2 linked regions of the Stegostoma tigrinum genome follow. The protein of the gene in region 1 purifies or fractionates together with the protein of each later gene. This does not show direct contact. Links are inferred from orthologs where the notes say so. Each region holds a gene or a part of one and is shown in the gene's direction. Other genes may lie near its edges.

Region 1 (10,576 bases):
GCAAAGTGATCATGGACACAAAGCCATGGAACACCACCTCACCTGGCACTAATTGACAAAGCCTGGTCCAAGTATCCGAGATAATGGGAACTGCAGATGCTGGAGAATCCAAGATAACAAAGTGTGGAGCTGGATGAACACAGCAGGCCGAGCAGCATCTGAGAAGCACAAAAGCTGATGTTTTGGGCCTAGACCCTTTATCAGAGAGCTCTCTGATGAAGGGTCTAGGCCCGAAACATCAGCTTTTGTGCTCCTGAGATGCTGCTTGGCCTGTTGTGTTCATCCGGCTTCACACTTTGTTATCAAAGTATCAGAAATGGCATTTCTGGTGGTGGCAAGCAAAAATAAATTGTTTTACTCCCAACAATGTAGTTGAAAAGTTACAATAATATTCCTTGACACATCAGAGGAACTCAAAGCTATTAAAGCAAACTTCAGCTAGGGAATGCCTGTATTCAGGGTATTTTAAAGTAAAATTACACAAACTGTGAATCTACCTTAAGGACATAATTTAAATGTCAATGAAGGAAAAGTGACTTTGAATGACAGCTGAGATATAATTGACTGTTTATACATAAAACATGAAATTAATCGACCCTATAAGCTTAGTAACATTGTATAAACTTGTTGAGTGTGTTATGTTTTGGCAAAATATATGGTATTAAATGAAACACAGCCATATTCACCAATTTACCATAAACATAAAATTATATGTATGTGTATTGGATTCTTGTGACATTTTATGTTCCTTTTCTCATCAGAAATTTACCTCAATTGAGCAACATGTCAAATTACATCATACCTATGACTGCCTTTTGTTATTTTCTTTCCTACAATTAACCCATTTTCTCAGAAAGTAGTCTGCCAATACTGTCAACCAGAGGAAAACTGAAAATTTATCATGGTTCACAATTGGACAAAGCCATCAAACTTCCACAAATACTCTAATGTTCTGATACTTTTCTAAACAGAGAAAATGAAGACCAAACATAAGCCCGCTGAGCACATTTCTGGTTGAGAAATTTTAAACAAGTCAAAACTGGACAAAATGCAATAAAGAGACCAAATATACCACAGAATTTGGGAAAGGAAGCAAAGGGTTGGGAGCATAACTGTTGGAAGGTGTTGAGCCTTTCCTAGAAAGAGAGTGGAAGGCCCAGCATCTGGTCTTGAAAGGAGTGAGGGTGAAAGACATTGCCTGATCTTGGATGTTCTGAACCTTCAGTTATTTTAATCAATTATAACCATGTCCTGGCTTGATCATGTCTTATTTCTTTCCCATCAGGCAACCTCTTCTTCTTGACATTTTGTTTAAATGCAACATAAATTGCAATATGGTATTTGTTTGTTGTTTTACAATTTGCATATCTTCTTGATATTTTCCTTCCATTGAGAGAAATTACTATATATTAATAAAAATTATGCATTTAATTGATTTGATTCTTCTGCCCAATTTATCATTTGGGCAATTGAGAGATTTCTATTACCAGTGTTAAAAGAATAAGATGGCTCAACAATTCTCAGCTTTATTGTCTATTTGTTCATGGTATCCAATGAATATGATTTCCTGTCTTCATAATTTTTTACTAATCACCAGATAAAATAATACAATAATTACAAAACAAGTTAGGGCGTGTCACAAAATCATTCTAATCCAGAAAATTTGGATGGGAGGAGATAAGACATAGTTTGGTAAAACTTGAGAGGAATATGGATGCAAGCCAATAATTTCATTCAAAAGAAAGCAAATACCTAGCAAACATGAATATAAAGTTAATAATATGAACCTCAGATGAAAAATAATTGTTTTCCCACCGTTCGACAATCGTGTGGCAAATCCGAGAACAGTGCAGGAAACAGCACCAACCTCTATACATGGTCCTCTTCGATCTCACAAAGACTTTCAACTCAGTCAACCATGTTGGATTGTGGAATATCTTCATCAAATTCAGCTGTCTGCAGAAATTTGTTGCTTGCTTCATGATGACATGCAGATCATGATCCTCAGAAATGGATACACCATTCATCCAATACAAGTGCCACCTGGGGTTAAACAGAGCTCTGTTATTGCACCAATGCTTTTCTCCATTTTTGTCTTCTCAACAGTCCACCACATCTCCACGAAGCTCCTTGACAAGTGTGGCCAACCTATAGGATGAGTTTGAAACTGCTCAACTTTCAATGACTCCAAATCAGAACCATGACCACCCCAACTTCTGTCACCGAGCTGCGGTACATAGACGATGCTCGCATGTGGACACACGCAGCGGCTGAGCTACAAATCATGGTCAATGCATTCACCAAAGTATGTGAGAAAATGGGCCTCAGGTTAAACATACAGAAAACAAAGGTTCTCTACCATTCCACTTCTGTCACACATCATAGTCCCCAAACTATCAAAATCCACAGCGAGTCACTGAATGGTGAGGATCATTTCCCATAACTTTGGAGCCTTTTCTTGGTGTAAGCAGATATTGAAGATAGAATCCAACATCGACTCTAATGCATTAGTGCAGCCTCTGGGTGCCTAAGGAACAGAGTGTTTGAAGTCCAAGGCCTGAAATCCAGCATCAAGCTCATGGTCTGTAGAGTAACCATGGTCCCCACCTTCCTGTATTTCAATGTGAGTATCCTCCCCCAGTCCAATATCCCCAGTATCAAGAGTCTAGTCACGCATGACCAGCTGTGATGGACAGGCCGCATTGTCTGCGTACTAGGCAAAAGACTCTGTAAATAAATTTTTGTATTCTAAGCTCTGCAATGTTAAGCTATCACTTGGAGGGGAAAGGGAGCACTACATCTCTACTGACATGTGGGAATCTCAGACCAATGAACACATAAGCTGGAAGGAATATCGGCAAGGATGCCAAGGGCTGAATGATTACTTTGTTCAAAATAGAATAAGATGGATTAGAAAGTTGGGTCATAATATAAGTAGATTCTGTTTAAATCAAGAAGGCAACTATCAAGGCTGCTTGGTATAATTTCGACAACCAAATGGATTTACTTAGAATTTATTCCAACGTACCTATGATAGATGAACTAAAATGAACCTTCAGTTATCTTTGCTTAGGAGAATACTTTTACAGGACCTGATAGAGTAGCCAGATGCAAAGATCATAAGAAATTGGAATATGAGTGACCATTCAGCCCAACAAGCTAGTTCCCCAATTCATAAGATCACGGCTAATCTGAATGTGGCCCAGTTTTCTTCCTGCTTCTGATGATCCTTATCTTCCTTGTTGATCTAACTTAGACTTGAATATAGTTAGTGCTCCAGCTCTCTGTGAAAGCAAATTCCAGAGTTTAATGACCATCTGAGAAAAGAAAGTCCTTCTCATTGCTGTTTGAATTGGGATAACCTTACCTTTAAATTGTGCGCCTAGTTATAAATTACTCCACAAGGCGAATCATCTCTCATCCCTTTCAAACCCCATCAGGATTTTTCAACAAGATCGCCTTGCATTTTTCCAAATTCAAAATGGTATTGGCTCACCTGTCCAAACTTTCCTCATAATTTGATTTACTGTAGTCACATGTACCTAAATACAGTGAAAATCTCTGTTTGCGAGCAGTACAGGCAGATAATAGTAAGCAAAGACATACAGATCATAGGGTGCTTGGACAGAGAGAGTTACACTCCACAGGAGGTGCATGAAGTAAGGTCAATATTATTTGAAGTTAGAGAGCCTATTCATCTGTATAATAATGGCAAGAAAGAAGTTATTCCTGAACCTGTTGGTATGTGTGTTCAAGCTTCTCTATCTTCTACCTGATAGAAGATGTTGTCAGAGAGCATTACCTGGGTTGGAGGGATCTTTGGTGATGTCAGCAGCCTGTCCACAGCAACAAGCAGTGTAAATGGAATTCATCGATGGAGGGTCTAGGCCTGAAACATCAGCTTTTGTGCTCCTAACAGGCTGCTTGGCCTGCTTGTTTTCTTCCAGCTCCACACTTTGTTATCTCCATAGATGGAAGGTTGGCTTCTGTGATGGTCTGGGCTGCACACACCATCTTCTGTAGGCAGAGCAGTTGTCATACCAGGCCGTTATGCACCTGGATAGTATGCTTTCTATGGTGCATCCATAAAAGTTGTTAAGGGTCCTTACAGACATGCTAAATTTCCTAAGCTATCGGAGGAAGAATAGGTGTTGTTGTGCCTTCTTGGCCATTGCATCCAAGTGGGAAGTTCAGGACAGGTTGGCAGTTATCATCACTCCCAGGAACTTGACGCTCTCAACCCTCTTGACCTCTGCTCTGTTGATGTAGATGGAGGAATGTTCTCCAACATGTCTTTATTAAAGAAATCGGTCCAGTTAACCATCTCTGAATTATTTTCAAAGTGTCCATCTTCAGTAAGCAGCCCAAAACTATACTCACCACTCCCTGTGCAATTTCACTGCTCTGTACAATTATCACAAGACTTCCCTACTTATATACTCTATCCCCTTTGCAATGAAAAACATTCTATTTGCCTTCCTGACTACTTGCAGAACCTGCCTGGTACCTTTTTGAGAATTATGTACAAGCACTCATTTGTAAAGCTGGAAAGAATGGTTGGTTCTTATTCCAAGTTGTCTTATGCCTTTATGATAATATATCCTAAAATAATTGCAGAGTTATGTGAGACAACAGTGTGGAGCTAGAGGAACACAGCAGACCAGGCAACATCAGACGAGCAGCAGAAGGGTTCCAACCTGAAAAGTCAACTTTCCTGCTCCTCTAATACTGCCTGGCCTGCTGTGTTCCTCCAGCTCCACACTGTTGTCTTTGACTCCAGCATCTGCAGTTCTAGCTATCTCTGCAGAGTTATATGGTTTATTTATTGATGTGCTAAAGTACAAGGACAAAACCAGTAAAATACTTGGAAATGAAGTAACTGCTCATACTGAAGGAAATTCCATGTTTAAGTATTCCAGATGACTCAAACAGTATGCATCATTCACATTAAATTGGATTTTCCTTGTGGGTGTGGAATAAAATGTAAAATATCAGATGTGGAAAAAGTGTTTTTTTTGTTTGTTTTCCCCTGTTGGATAATCACTTCTACTTTTATACACCATGGGGCAAAATTTATTTAAGACTTCAATATTTACATCTGCTTTGTCAAGGCAACAGCTTTATGACCCATACAAGGGGCAATTGTCTGTCATTACCAATTGGTAAATGCACTTACTTGAAAACTATTGCCTGTTAATATTAAGCAATGGGGCATTAGCTTTCTCTGTAGGTGTACAGAGGAGGACATTAGGATGATTCCCACTGCAGGAACTCAATGTGTATGGCGTCACCGACAGTCGCACCACCCTGTCCAGTGACGTCACACAACGGATGTGATGTCAGACCGTTCGCAGTCCGGCAATGGCGAGCTAGAGCCGAGGAAGGAGAAAGGAGAGAGAGTCACTCGAATCCGATGTAATCCTGCGTGCAGGCGGCCAGAATGACAATAAAATTTGGTGGAGCATAATCTACGGCGTTTAACGTGTCGTCTGGTGTGGATATTGTCGGGGTGCATTTGGAAAGAAGCGAGAAAAGTGTTGGTGAAAATCCCTCTGTGAGAGAGACTGAGAACAGACAGACACACACACACACAGAGGGAGAGAAATAGAGTTTCTCTGAGTAACCCGGGTTAAAATCAAACTCACACAGTGGGCACCAGGCGAAACCCACCATGGAACTCAGAGTGGGAAACAGGTACCGACTCGGCAGGAAAATCGGCAGCGGGTCCTTCGGAGACATATACCTGGGTAAGAACTGAGAGTGGATTTTAGGAACAAAATAAGAGATAGAATAGTCTTCATAACAGCACGGCTGAAAAATAGTGTGAGCAACATATTTAGTCTTGTGTCACTGGCCCCCGTGGAAAAGAACACGGTAATAGTTAAGAAAGAAAAGCTGTCATTCACATAGTCAATCTCCATATCCACAAGATGCTCCTTGGGAAGATTATGATTCTCAGGAATCACATATGGAAAGAGCTGACTGTTAGATAATGTCCAGGGTTCATTTCACCAGAACAGATGGACTGTTCCATCAATCAAAGGATAGGATATCAGTCATTTCAACCCAGCAACAAAGAAATCATGAACGAGAAGCGTAACCAGCGAAGCTGTTTCTTTTAAAACAAAACCACAGCTGATCTATGAAGTAATGCTCCTGGGAAATACAAGCTGTGGGAAATCTGAGAGGAAGTGGTTGAAATCTTCAATGTTTCTCAGTAATGTGAATGTAAAACAAATTGTCAGTTACCAAGTGGTGTTATAGTGCTGTATGTTGAAGGGATGCTTCAAAGTAATTGTTTTGTTAGTGCTAAAGTAGTGAATTGTGGGAGGTTGGTAAACAATCGGACATGTTTCTGGTGAAAATCGTTAAACAGGATCTGGGAATATCCATTGTTTTCATACAAGCAAGAGTGATTGCCCTTTGGTTGGAGTTAGGGAGTGTAATTTATCTGTAAATCTGTTTATGAAAAAGCAATTAATCATTTAAATGTGGAGCATCAAGGAGCAAATACATGTGGATGAGCCGTAACAGGTTTGTAACTTGAATTTATGATGATGGGCTTCCGCATATCGGACTGCTGTCAGTGTCATCTTAAAGCACAGTTAGCATCACATTTCCAGTGTATAGATCGTTCATTTCCAAAATCCAGCCTTTTCATTGTCAGCAGAAAACCTGGTGTCAACATCTTGACTGTGTGCTTCTCGAAATGCACTGACAACAGTTGGAGTAACAATTGCATATGAGGTTTCTAAGATTTGGTTGTTTTCAATTCTTGCTTGAATCAGTTTGATCTTTTATTAAATTGAGTCCATCATTGGAATGGAAGATAATGAAAGTTAAATATTTGAAAAGGATGAAGTCTTTTAACACAAAAGCAAAATACCGCAGATGCTGATGGTCTGTATTTTCCAGCATCGGATGTTTTTTATCACTGTATTTTAAAATAGCAACTTGCTTCCATGTGGGAGAGCTTAACCTTTATGTTGAACCAATCAGCTGTGCAAACCAACAGAACTGCGCAAACTGATATCCATTCGACTATTTGTGATAATTAAAATAATTGTTTTGTATACCATCAGTAGCAGTTAGCCCGACAACGAAAACAGTAGTGGAACAGCAATTAAATATTTTCAATAATTATACCAATGTTAGTAGAGTCACTGTCTTATCAGTTTCACTCCTACAATGAATGTTGATTCTTAAGTCCTAAATGTGTTATGCTAATTTCAACGTTAACAAAATTTGTATCAACTTTTAGGGGGAAATTAATCAGTTATGGGTTTTAAATATTCTAAAATAAATCAAGAAGCATGTTGATGTGTAAAAGTATCTTCTTTCACTGGATGCCGTTCTAGATAGCTACTGTGACTTCCCTTGTACTGCTGTAACATAAATGCAGTGATAGTGTTGCCTCTTAGAGTGCTAAGAAGAACCTTGGAATTGGTAATTTTCCAGAACTACTCTCCTACCGCTGAAAGCCCTTGTTCTGATAGTGAGACTTTCCAGGCACTTTTTTTCCTATTTTACAATTGCTGTCACTGCACTGAAATCATCCTGCCCTGAAAATGAGTGAGGTGATGTGGGGTGAATTTTCATGAACACCATATTTTTACATTTTCTCTGATTTCTTTCTGCGGTACTGTATGCCTCTTCCTAAATTCACATTAAAACTGTTTCCAAATTTTGGCTAGTCCTGTTTATGAACAATGATTAAGGTTTGTGTCGTTTCAGGAAATGAATCACGCACTTTTACGCAGATATGCTCCAGGCCAAAATGAGAGCTCAGTGAACAAACTGTAAAATATTGTGGAATCAATTTTTCCTTTAATAATAAAAGGAGAACTCCAATTTAGTGAATTTTATAACGGTCGTACTTAGGGTCAACTGCTGCACTGTTTGCACCTTGCTAGAGGTTCTGATTGCTTTGATCTTGATTTCCTTTTTAGTATTTTAAGGACTAATGATGTCTTTGCTTGCTGTGACACACTGTCTTTTGCCATTTTTCTCCCTACTTGCTCCCTTATACCAGGAGTATATGTTGCATGGCCTCGTATATTCGTGTCACTATATTCTACAATCTTAGTCCTTCAGTGGGGGAAGTCTCTGCTTGTTTAAATGGCAGCCCAGATCATTCCTAAATATCTCTTTTTAGTCAAAATTCAGTGTAAAATTCCTGTGAAACTGTGTTTCTTTTGTGATTGAAATATACTTTAAAAAGCAGTGTTTTAGGAACCAATTTTCAGTATATTCTTGGTTGGATTCTCTCTTTTGTCGTGACTTGTGCTTTGCCTGTCACTTCCCCCTCCCCCTCAAGGCCTTGATTCCTTTGTTTCTTTGTCCTGAAGCTGTATTGTGTAATTTGTTTTATAAAACACTGTTCAGATGGCCTTAGAGAATGGGCAAGAACTAGTTTTTGTTGATGAAATGTGTTTTAAAAGACCTGGTTAGTTCCCACTGACGATTCAAATATCATTGACTATCAAAGTGCTTTGTTTTTTGTTTTTATTTTCAATTTTCTTTATTGTTTGGAAGTAAACTGTTGTACTTGGTAGATTGACCTCAAAAGCAGAAGTACTCCTCAAGTCCTATTTAAATTCTGAACTCAGTCCGGCTGATATGTAACAGCACCCTTTAATATCATTTGAATGTGACTGACAGTCTTGTGCCATCTGGTCATTAAAAAATATACTTCTTCTTGAAGTTGTTTTGTCTTTTATGTGCAGTAAATAAAGTGAGCAACTTCAGAACAAAAACAAAATGAGATTGTGAGCTTTCATAAGTAAAATTGATCTTCCAGAATATTTGCTCAAGTAGGGGTGAAGTTTTGATCCATTTATTTAGTAAAATGAAGGAATTGTTTACAACCTGTTGCTCCCCTTCCGAGAATGTTGGGAGATTTGTTCAAGCAAACTTGAACCTCATTGGAAATAAGATCAGAAAGTGCTAGAAAAAACCTAGGCAGTTTGTCAGCATCTCTGGAGAGAAACACAGTTAATGTTTTGAGTCATATTGGACTTCTGCTTTCTGTTTTTATTTCAGCTCTCCAGCATGTCCAGTACTTGCTTTTAGTTGATCCTAATTAGCCCCACTTAGCAGTTTTAGCGCAAAATCACTAAGTCAGAGAACTCTGATTTACTGCCTTATGTCTCATCTGGGTAAGATTGCCTTTCATTTGATCTTGGAACTTGAACTTGGTTCACACTTACCAGATGTTTTGCCACAACCATACAATATGACTCCAGTGGTTCAAGAGGCAGAGTTGTGCTCATGGCCTCCCATTTTTGTTTTACCAGTATTTGAATTTTGCATCCCTAATTATGCATAGGAGTTTGATGTTTTTTCCCATAATTCTGATTGTGGGTTATTAATTTCCAATCTGCCAGCATCTAAAATGTTAAATTCTTGCCCTTATCTTAGAACCCTTTCTGGACGTGTCCTTTGCCACTCTGTAACCTCCTTTGGCATCAGATTTTCCATTCTGTTGATTGTGGTCTTTCTGTAAAATGTTAACTGAAAAGACTACATTCTGAATTTATTGAAGATTTGGGATAGCCTGAAATAGAAGTCAGTCAACTAAATTATTTCCTGAAAACAACACAGCTAATATAGCAGGTATAGAATAATGCACAGCTTTAAACGTGATTTGAATTTTCTGTTAGATTGTTTGACCCACGAAGCTGCGGTGTGAAATGTTTCAAGTATGTTTGTTTATACTTAGAGGTGATTTGTGGCATGTGTTTTGTCTGACACCTTTTAAATGCCCCAATTTCCTTTTTTGAGAACAGCAGTGTGTGAAGCTGATGTTGTGACCTGAAATCACTTGACAGATGAGACCCTGCACAACTTGGAATTGGGTGGGAAAAGGCGTCTAACTTCGAGTCTTCTTATGGGGAGGGATGGGACAAAGTTCCCCCGAAATTGCTACACTAGCAATAGATGGCAGATGTGATTAGAAAGGGGAGAAGTTAAGTGACAGTTGCTTTCTTTGGTAAAGTGTGTGCTTATCTGCAAACAAAGTTCCTTTGTTGGACAAATGGGAAGGCCACCTCTCCAGATGTATGTGGGTGGGAGGCTTTCATTTGTTTAACAAGCATCCCAGAGAGTAATGAGTACAAGTGATGCAAAGTGTTTGGAGCTTTTGAAGATCATTCATAGTTCTGAAGAGTTTCTATGTTGATGCAATTACGTTTCTGCACTTTGACATCCTCAGAACCCGAAAGAATTATAGAAGCGCTACACCCTCCTGCTGTATAAAATTGCTATCCTGGATATTGGCAAAGATGTGAACCTTTTGTAGCTCTTAGAAATCCCTCTGAAAAGCATAAAAATGAACTGCTGGCAAGAGTGTGGGTCGTTGCCATTTAGAAGTGTAAAAAGAAAATGATGCTGGGTACATGCCATCTCAACAGTTTATTGAACACTAACTGTACAAAGATCCCTTTTAACATAAAGCATTTTAAAAGATGTCAAGTTCATTTTTGGGCATCCAATGCAAAGTGTTCATTAGATATGTTTTGGGATAATTTGATTTGTGGCATTATCATTAAATATCCTTACAGGATCAAATGCGAAC
Region 2 (11,108 bases), on another chromosome or scaffold:
TATGTTAAAGGGGAGATGAACAGGCAGGCACAAATTGACTGTCCATGGTCAAAACAGCAGTATGTTACCATGAACTGCAAGTAGCTTTTTTTTTTCAGAAATGGGTCAATGTCATTGGTTTTTGGAGTCAGCAATGTGCGTACACAACTTGTGTTTTCACCTCTTTCTGCAGATTCTGCTTGTTTAGACTTTGGTTGTTGCATGTGCTTTTTATGCACTGGAGCAAGACCTAATTGTATTAAAATTGTGTATCATATGGAGCTGCCCAAAGCTTCTGTTAAAATAAAAACTGTACAATATATAGTTATATATATGTATAGATGTGCTGAATGTTGTTTATATTTTTATAAATGTCTATGTTACGTTTTATGCTTAATATTAAAAAGGATCAATCAGTGTAAATGACTCACATTTAACTTCAATTTAATCTGTTGTGGTTTCTCTCTCTTGTCAACTGCATATGCAAATCACAACCTGTCACTGGTTAGGTAACATGTATCACTCTCTTCTGGAGTTAATGTGAATAATCCCATTAGTAAGGTCTCTACCCTACCTTACCAGGTGTCAACTGCGCTAGTGACTTGGGCTGAAAAAGGAAGACATTGTTGGTTCTTGGATTTGGAATACCCTGGAAAAGCTGCAGTCTTTTTTTGTTTGCTTACTCCAGAAGGTGGTAAGCAGTTTTCCCAAGTAAAAGTCATTTGTAAGGCTAAATTGCTTACAAACATACAAACATATGTTACGAATTTAAGAACAGGAGCAGGAATAGGCCATTCAGCCCCTCTAGCTTGTTCAGCCATAAATAGGATTATGGTCATTCTGATTGTAACCTCAAATCGAGACTCCCACCTACCTCTAACTTTTCAAACCCTTGCTTGACCGGAATCTATCTGTGTCTGTCTTAAAAATCTTGAGGCTTGCTCGTTCATTTCAAAGACAGTTAAGAGTCAGCTGTACAGTGTAGACTGGAGTCATATGTAATCCAAAGCCAGATTGCCCTTCCAGATTCATTTGGTACTTTATGTTACTGAACATTTACAGTCATTTATTTTTGGCATGAGTCCACAAGTCCTGTGTTTGGCTGCTCTACTTTAAAGGAAGATATAAAGAAAAATGGATTTGCACTTGTATAACTCCCAATCAAGATGTCCAAAACATTACATCCAAAGAACCCTTTGTTAATGTCACAACATAGAATGGACAATAACATATTCATATGGTAGCTTAATGTAATAATGTGTTTCAAGGAAACATTTTGAAATAAAATCTGTCAGAAGGCAATACAAAGGAGACTTTAGCTCGTGGAACTAAAGGATTGGTCAAGGAGAAGTTTCAAGAGATTCTTAGAATACTAGGTACAAATTTTTGACCAGAGCAGACCTGATGACCTAAAGGGCTTCTTTCTGTGCTGTGGACTTCTATGACTTGTGGATGGAATGCTACAGGAGGTGCAAGGGAAAGGAGGTGTAGGAAAGATATTGCATGGAGTGGGACCAAGGGGAAAAGTGAGCCACTCATGGTAAAGCTATTAGAATTTCAGATGCTCAAAAGGCCAGAATGGGAAGGACACAGATATTTTGGAGGTTTGAGAGGTTATAGCTAGGGAGAGCCAAGGCAATGGAGGGATTTGAAAACTAGTCTGTTAGTTTTAAAATCAAGATATTTCTTGACTGGACGTGAATATAGTCAAGTGAACACAGAAGTTATAGCTGACCTGGACAAGGAAGATAATTTGCCTCATTTAATCTTGGGAAGAAATATCTGGCCATGTACAATTAGGTGTTGACATGAATGGAGATCATCAGTCACCTATCTCTGAACATATGAAAATGATGAGCAGTATAATACCAGATAGTCCATCAAATGTGAACACTCATGATGGCCATTGCATCATGAGTAGAATTTGCAACTTCAGAGAGATTACTTTGGGAAAGGTAAAAATAGTACAGAAAAAAATATGGAGAACAAGTCAAGAAGTACACTGAAAGATTTCTCTCTGACACTCACTCAAGTGATTGAAATAAACTCGAGATGATGTGTGTACCTACTGCCTAAACTCCAAATATTATTTTCTGGAATAACAAAGTGTGAAGCTGGATGAACACGGCAGGCCAAGCAGCATCTCAGGAGCACAAAAGCTGACGTTTCGATGAAGGGTCTAGGCCCAAAACGTCAGCTTTTGTGCTCCTGAGATGCTACTTGGCCTGCTGTGTTCATCCAGCTTCACACTTTGTTATCTTGGATCCTCCAGCAGCTGCAGTTCCCATTATCTCTGATCATTATTTTCTGGGACTGTTTTGTGGACAGTACATTGGCACAAGGTTTTAACCAATTTAGTTCTTCCCTGTTTATTTTCATCCTGTTCGTGAAACTGTGTCAGAGCTTAACACTAACTCTGGTGAGTAAGTAACCCACCTTTGTGCAACATTTTGAGGAATGAATATTTGTTCCCACCTCAACTTCCCCCTTCAAGATGGGAGGCAATGCACTAAATGCTCTGTAACCTCTGTCATGGATATAAGTAGGTAAGTGTGGTTTGGGGGCAACACAGCATCTCAGGCAAGGGGTGAGACAAATCTTGCAGCAATAGGCTTATGTATGCAACCCAGAGAGGAATGGAAATAATAAATCAACAATCCTTTCCCTTTCTAATAATCCAGTTGTCAAATAATAGTTTATTGTGTCATTAAAGTATCACCTAGAATGATAAAAGCAGCAGGTACATAGGAGTGCCACCATCTGCAAGTTCTTCTCCAAGATCCACATCATCCTGACTTAGAAACGCAGCAACAGGAGAAGGACATGTCAAGCCCACTGCACCATTTAATGTGATAATAGTTAATCAAATACTTCAATGCCTTTTACCCACAATGTCCCCATAACCCTGCATACCACTCATGTCTATCTCCCTCATTCCTTCAAACTCAAGAGAATACAGGCCCAATTTGTCCAGTGTCTCTCAGTCAGACAGTCCTGCCATCCCAGGAACAAGTCTGCTGTACTCCTATTGCATTCTCTCTCTCTGCCAATGATATCCTCCCTCCGATAAGGAGACCAAAACTGCACACAGTATACCAGGTGCAGTCAGATCAAGCTTCTCTACAATTCTATACAATTGAAGTGAGACTTTACTACTGCTGTATGCAAATTCTCTTGCAATAGGTCTGCCATTTCATTAGCATTCCTAAAGGTTTGCTGTACCTGCATGTTAGCCTTCAGTGACATATTGATAAGGACACCTACTACCAGACAAAGGTCCCTTTGTACATCTACACTTTCTAACCTTATTATTTAAAAAATATTCTGCGCATCTGATCCTCCTACTAAAGTGGATAATCTTACAGTTTTATTATGTTGAGGTGATGGCCTAGTGCTATTATTGCTCGAATATTAATTTGGAACCCCAAGTAATATTTGGGGGACCTGGGTTCAAACTCTGCCAAGGCAGATAGTGGAATTTGGATTCAATAAAAATCTGGAATTTAGAACTCTAATGATGACCATGTTAGGGGAAAGCCCCATCTGATTTGTGAATGACCTTTAGGGAAAAGAAACTGCTTTCTTAGGCTGGCCTACATGTGACTCCAGACCTGCAGCAATGTAGTTGACTCTTGACTGCTCTCAGCAATTAGAGATGGGCAATAAATGCTGGCCATGTCAGTGGTGCCTACATCCCATGAATAAAAGGGGAAAAATATATATACTCTCTCAGCCATGCTCTTGCCCAGCCACTGCTTTACATCTTCACAACACACTATCCCACTTATCTCTGTATTATCTGAACATTTGGGAATATTACATTTGGTTACCACGTCCAAATCACATATATACTTCGAGCAGCTGGGACACAAGTACAGATCCTGGGAGTACCCCACTAATCAGAGTCTGCCAACATGACCATTCTAGAGTTTTATTTCTGTTAAATCCATCCATAATTAATGTGGATGGACATTTTGGTTGGCATGGACCAGTTTGAGCTGAAGGGCCTTTCTCTGTGCTGTAGGACTCTATGACTCTTCTGTCATGTTTTAAGTCTAATTGCCGAGCGAATATTTTTGTGCAGATGTTTGATTTCTCATTTCTCTGCGTCATCTAGGTCGGGCAATTGTCTTGATCTACACCTGACCACGTTAGATGTCAGTGATAATGGGAACTGCAGATGCTGGAGAATCCAAGACAACAAAATGTGAGGCTGGATGAACACAGCAGGCCAAGCAGCATCTCAGGATGAAGGGTCTCGGCCCGAAACATCAGCTTTTGTGCTCCTGAGATGCTGCTTGGCCTGCTGTGTTCATCCAGCCTCACATTTTGTTGTCACGTTAGATGTCTGCTCCTTTCGGCACTGCAGCAACTCCGGGGGGAGGGGGGGATCTTTGTCAATCACTTCTTGGACAATTTAGAAATGTGGTAGGGAAGTTTGATGACCTTTATTGTCTTCTCACAATGGTGAAATGAATCAAAGTCACAATGTTTACAGTTAAATTTGATTATATTTTGTTCAGTATAAATGAGAGTTGTTGCATTTTGGTATCTGGAGGGCATTGTTAAGTGCAGCAGTGTTATTTTTTATGCTTTGGACTTAAGTGTAACTTACATATAATTCATCCATGGCCTTTCTGGTAAGTGGCGCGTCTGGGAGTGCGTGCCCTGTCTCGGCTCCATTCCGTTGTGGTGGTCGGTCTGCGGGATGGTCTTTGATGTCTGGCTGGCTATCCCCCTTTCCCTTTCCAGTGGATTCCTGTATGCATTTCGTTTCGCGGGGGGGGGGGGGGGGGGTTATGGGCACTGAGTTGACTCGGCGGCAGGGTATTGCGGAGGCTGGAAGGTGTTGGACCGAAGGCAGAGGGTGCTGAAGTTGTTCGGCGGGTTTGTGGTGAAGCAGCGTTGACGTTTTGCATTTCTTCGGTACTAAAGGAAGAGATGGAAGTGTGGTAGGCTGTATACAGGGAAAAAGGTGGGACAGAAGGAAGGCCCCAGAATGATGGAAGGTGGAGATCATAGTTGTCACAGAAAACAGAGCAAAGGGAGATGTGATAATTATATAGATGAGAGATAACATATGGATGGGGTAGTGTAGGGGGAGGGGCTTAGATTAGTTCACAGGTCGGTGCAACATCGACGGCCGAAGGGCCTGTTCTGCGCTCTATTGTTCTATGTTCTTGGTTCTAAAATCCATGACAATACATCACCTCCTATCCCAAGTAATTTTCAATTTAGCTAACCAATCTCCTGTCTGAGACCTTACCAAAAGCCTTCTGAAAATCCCAGTATACTACTGCTTTTGATTCCCCTTTATCAGTTTTGTGAGAGCGTCCTCAACTCCAAATTGGAACTATTTTGCCATTCCTTCACTATCACAAAATCCGAGAAATCTCTTCTACAGCGCTGCGGGTGGCCCTCCAACGCAATGCTTGTGATGGTTGAGGGAAGTGGCTCAGCAGCACTTTTTTTTCTAGCGTAATCAGGAACCAGCAATAAAGCAAAGCCCAAATTCCCTTAATGAATTTAAGAAAACTGACCTCGGCGTAGTACAATATATATTAGGTATGCAAATACTGCCCACTCTGCTGGGGAGATTTCCTCACGTAACCTCCAATGACCCACCCCCACACTCTTGCTATTGGCCTATTGTCCAGGAGCACCGACTTTCGACAGCCAATTGGAGACTTTCTGAGCCAATTGGTTGTTTAACTTTAACTGTTTCACTAGCTCCCAACCATGCAACCATCTTGTTAGCAAATAAACTTGAAAATGTCTGTGGGGTCGCATTAGCAGTGTCCTCTTGAGCCAGGCTTCAAGACCCACCTGTTCTACAGATGTATGTCTGAACAGGTTGTTTAAAAAAATCCCTACCTCTGGACTATCAGCCATAGAAGTCGTCATTGGACAAGCATATGGACGTACATGGAATAGTTAAGTTAGATGGGCTTAAGATGGGTATGACAGGTCGGCACAACATCGCGGGCCAAAGGGCCTGTACTGTGCTGTAATGTTCTATGTTCTATGTTCTATAACATGTCTAAACAGGTTTAAAAAAAAGTGATTGTGCACCTATTCAAAGAAAATGAATAATAAGTTTCATTAAAATCACTGTGGATAATCGCCAGCAGATGATTTTCTATCCCTGGCCAATCCTGGAGGGTTGGTGATATCAATTTTATAAACAAAGAAATTTCTGACAGAGATAGTAGGAGCTGCCGATGCTGGAGAATCTGATATAACAAGGTGTAGAGCTGGATGAACACAGCAGGCCAAGCAGCATCAGAGGAGCAGGAAAGCTGACGTTTCAGGTCTAGACGCCTCCTCTGATGCTGAGATAATAAAATGTGAGGCTGGATGAACACAGCAGGCCAAGCAGCATCTCAGGAGCACAAAAGCTGACGTTTCGGGCCTAGACCCTTCATCAGTCTCTGGTTGGATCAGACATGAAAGTACAAGTTTGCAAAGGAGTGATGATTCTCTGTGTGTGTGTGTGTGAAAACAGACTGTCAGTGAGTGGGCGGAGCTTTCCCAGCTGTTTTTGGATGAATTTAAACCTGTAGCCAATCGCGATGGGGCTGTTGTCAAAATCCGTTAAAGAGTAAAAAGTAAGGGAGAGTCCTGAGCTGGTGGGATTGGGAGAAGTAACCGGGAGACTGGTTAGACAGCTCTCGCAGCAGCCAATCGCTTCTCGTAGTCTGTGTTTGAATGGACTGTTGGTGAATTTCAATCGTGGGGAACGGGAAGAAAATATACGGCGAGTCAAGGAGCGCGGCTGCTTTTGTAACAAGGGATTTTCGAGACTCGTCAAGGAAGACTCTAAACTTCTGTCTGTGCAAAACTAATTCTGGGCGTGCAAGCCGGCAGAAGCCCCCCCCCCCCCAATTCTGGGCGTGCAAGCCGGCAGAAGCCCCCCCTCCCAAATTCTGGGCGTGCAAGCCGGCAGAAGAACCCCCCCAAATTCTGGGCGTGCAAGCCGGCAGAAGACCCCCTGTCCCTGGAGTGAAGGGAGCGGTGAAAGCAGGCTCTGGGTCTGAAATCTCCAGCTTTACCTGGGACCCTGGACCATGAATGATTCCCAGTGCCTCGATGACCTGCCGATCGTGTCCAGGTGGTGTGGTGCTGCCAGGCAGGAGCTGGGACTGAGAGAGTTTTATAGCGAGACCCAGCGCCTGGCTTTGGAAGAGCTGATCTCCGGCGGCGAGGAGGCTTACAGCGCCTTACTAAAGAGAGAGAGAGTCCAGGGCTTCCTGTCGGCCGATGAGATCGCCAGCATCCTGCAATCCACCATCAGCCCCCCTGGGCTAGACAGCCAGCCACTCGAGCAATCCTTCACCTGCTCCAGTGACCTAAGCTCGGGGACCTATTTCCCCGATGCCTCGGACATTGAGGTGCCGGTTCTGGACATTGGGTGGCCGGTGTATCCGAGCAACTGGTACCGGGGTGTGACCCAGGTGGAGGTGTATTTCCAGCCCAGCTATGGGGAGCTCATCTACAGCTGCAAGGAGGCGATCAGGAAGCTCATCAGAAAGGCAGAGAAGGTAGGTTAGGGGGAATATGATTAACCTGGTACTTTCCATACCCGCCCCTTGCGCGGATTTGTTTTTCATTTTGGACGTTTCATTTCAATCTAGATTCTCTTGTATGTTGAATATTTAATACATGTTAAATGCCAAAGATAGAAACTTACTTTTTCCAAAATACAGAGCTATATTTTAACAGAGTTAATCTAGCCAGTGGAAGGAAAGGTTGAGTGACTGGAAACAGCCAGCAGTGTTGTTTGGATGGTAGAATGGATACGGTGGAGTTCCCCAGGGTTCGGTTTCAGCACTTTCTTTGTTCTATATTAAGACCTTTGTGCAAAAGACTGTCAGATACAGCGTAAAATTAGAACTCTCCAGTCCTGTAATGATTAGGATTTCTTGCTGTTACCATTACACCCAGGGTTGGATTCTTGTCCAGGCAATGATTCCCCACAGTTTACACAAAGTCTTTGTGTAATGTCACTGCCCTTGTAATACAGACCTTGCACACTCAGGATTAAATAGATCCCAAGCCCATCACAGCAGCTGGGAGCAATTCAAAACCAGTGGCTAAATCTGAAAATATGAAGCAATGTTTAATGTAACAGTGACCGCTCCATGGTCATCCGTCCATTGGAAAAGCCTTCTTGTTTTGGCCTACATGCAATGAGGCTGAATCTGAAATTTCAAGCCGTTCAGTTCAAGGGGAATTTGTGGTAGGAAAATAATGCAAGCCTTAACACAGGGTCTCACATCCCCTTCGAAGAATAAAGAGGGGAAAATGTTCAAAGACAATTAAAGCTAAATGCCAGGAACAACTTGGCCATAGCCTGAGAGTTGAGGCCAGACAGTTTGAGAGATGTTAAGAACCACCTCTACACAACCAGGGTGTCAAAGGTTTGGAGCTCTCTTCGACAAATAGCAGTGGATGCTGGATCAGCTAATTTTAAAACTGAGATAGATATGTTTTTGGTAAGTAAGGGGATGTGGTCTAAAGACAGTTATAGGGAGTTAAGTCAGACATTGGCTGCTATCTCATTGAATTCTGGAACAAACTCAAAGGGTTGAATGGCCTACTCCTGTTTCTATGTTCCTATAAGCTTTTTTTTGCACTGTATAATATTCCAAGAGGTTCAGAATCAAGCCTGAAATTTCTTCAGAAGGTAAATATTTGGGAAACATTTGTACTGAGATTACTAATAAATGTGAGGAATTTATATGATGGCGATAGAACTGTTCTGGTTGATAATATATTGGTTCTAGAGTGGGACAAATAAGCCACTCCTGCTGATCTGTTCTATTTGTTTCATGAAAAATTTGTTTTCACTAGTAGCTTGGGTACTGTGATTTATTGTCTGTGCATTTAGACGTAGTAAGATTGCAGTGAAAACATGTAAAGACAGTGAAAGGCTGACCTGTTATTCAGTGCCCTGATTAATTGATGACCGTCTTGAGGTGCAGTGGTAGTGTCACTATCCTTGGACTGAGGGGCCCAGGTTCTAGTCCCACCTGCTCCAAAGGTATGCAATAACCTTTCTGAACAGATGGTTTCGAAAAATAGGTTAATTGATGGTCCAACAGATCCTGTTGTGCACAACAAGGTCAGAACTAAATTTTGTTGCTGACCTAGAAACTATTGTTCATTTAGTCATTTAACACCTGCAACGGAATAAGATAGGGCTCAGGTTTCTTGTTCACTGTGACTGCTTTTAATGTTTGCCCAAACCATGAGTTTTGGATGTTAGATGTTCAAATGATATTTGCATGTTTTTAAACACTGAAGTTAATTGTTCTGTGCCTCAGGCAGGATGAGTACAGACAGAAATTTTCTAACTAAAAAAAGTATAAAATTTTACAGATGCACGAAATCTAAAAAAGTAAAGAATGCACAAAGGGAGTGCTGATAAGTTATGCCGTACTTTTTTTTAGAGGGAATAAATGATTTAACTATTGGTAGCACCCTCCCCTCTGAGCCAAAGAGCTGAGAGTTCAAACCAGGCTCAGAAAAATAAAGCACATAATCTAGGGCGATGTGCCCAGAGCAATACCAAGGGAGTACTGCATGTTCTAACACAGACTCAGCTGCCCCATTGGGTGGTTAAGGTCCCAAGGCACATTCTAAGAAGAGCTGGGGGTTTCTTCTCTGGTGTCCCTCTGCCTCAACCAGGACCTAATGCTATTATCTGATCATCACATTCTTGTTTGTGGGACCTAGTACAATAAAACAAAAATGAACTGCTTTTGGTTTTCCATGATATAGGATACTCTTAACTATGAAAGTAATCATTTAGCTGTAAGTTGGCTCAAAGTCAAATGTCTAGACTTCAAAATTTATGTCCTTATTTTCAAATCAATCCATTAATTTACCCTCCTGATCTCCGTTACCATGTACAGTCCCACAACCATCCAAGAAATCTGTGGTCTCCTGGCCTTTTGCACACTCCAAATCATAAGTCCACCAATGGTGGAGTAATTAACTTCCAATGCTTAGACTCCAAGCTCAGGTATCCTTCTCCACCTTGTTTTTTTTCTCCTCCTTTTTAAGATGCCCATTTAAAACCTACCTGTTTGATCAAGTTTTTGGTCTTCTTACCCACTATCTCTCTATGAGGCTTGTATCATAATTCTGTTTCATTAGGTCTCTCAGGATGTCTCAATACATTTTTTAAGACACTTAATGCAAATTGTAAAGAACTGAAGTCCGGAAAGAATGGTGGAAATGGCATTGCATTCATTCTTTAAAATGAACAGAATCCTGTAAGATGTCACAAAACAGTCTTGATTTGATCTGCTCTGGATGGTAAATTGACCCACCAAGGTAAGAAGGAGGAGTAGAAATGCTAGCTGATTTGATGGCAGTAACAAGAGGAGAAACACAATGCCCTTAACTTCCAGTTACTGGAATCTACTGTTGCTGCCTTGGAGATAGCCAGGTTGGTAGCAATAAATACGAGGCATGGTCTGGGTGTGTTTGGTATAGAGGTAATTCTGTCTGTGGAAATGTATTATAGTGCAGTGATTCACTCTTGTGCAATACATGCGCTGATGTACAAAGAGCAAAGCTTGTAGGGTTTTTGTCATGTGATCCTTCAAGATTGGATTACAACTCTATCACAAACCCATTATAAAATGTACATGTACATGTTGATCAGCTGCCTTTGGTGTACAATAACTTTGGGCTGGAATGTCAGTGTTTTAACTTCTTTGGCTCTCTCCTGTGCCTAAATCAAATGAAGTAGGGACAGGAGGTGGTTGTTCAGCCCCTAGAACTTGCTCTGTCATTCAATCAGGGTTGATCTTACATTCCTCATGCCCCATTTCCTGCCCTTTCCTCATAATCCTTGATTTCCCCTAATGGCACGTGTGATAATAAAGCTAATTCAGTTTCAAAGAAGCAGATAAAGCATATGCTTCTATCTGTTTCCATAGCTAGTTTCTCCTGGAACAAGCTGTCAGCCCATCACCAGGGGTTATGGCTTGAGTTGCACCACTCCTGGATCAAGTACAGCTGTCCAGGACACTCTTGCCATCTGCCATTGGCGTACGGCTAGAAATAATATTGGCTGTACTACGTATGCGCTTTCCTTAGCCACCAAATCCTCGAGT

The links. Proteins that work in one complex are often made in the same cells at the same time.
Region 2: the proteins of casein kinase I (region 1) and fam83d purify together in Homo sapiens (affinity purification with mass spectrometry; 4 studies listed by BioGRID and IntAct, counting the BioPlex papers as one, with this or other methods). This does not show direct contact. The link is inferred for Stegostoma tigrinum from reciprocal best matches to the Homo sapiens genes CSNK1D and FAM83D.

Annotation. Positions count from the first base shown.
Region 1 is NC_081375.1:27,796,642-27,807,217, reverse strand, and holds the start of casein kinase I, read left to right. Parts: upstream 1-5,331; 5' UTR 5,332-5,671; coding exon 5,672-5,747; intron 5,748-6,212; exon of another isoform or gene 6,213-6,534; intron 6,535-10,576. UniProt on the Homo sapiens protein: Essential serine/threonine-protein kinase that regulates diverse cellular growth and survival processes including Wnt signaling, DNA repair and circadian rhythms. It can phosphorylate a large number of proteins.
Region 2 is NC_081372.1:13,694,163-13,705,270, forward strand, and holds the start of fam83d (protein FAM83D), read left to right. Parts: upstream 1-6,529; 5' UTR 6,530-7,046; coding exon 7,047-7,520; intron 7,521-11,108.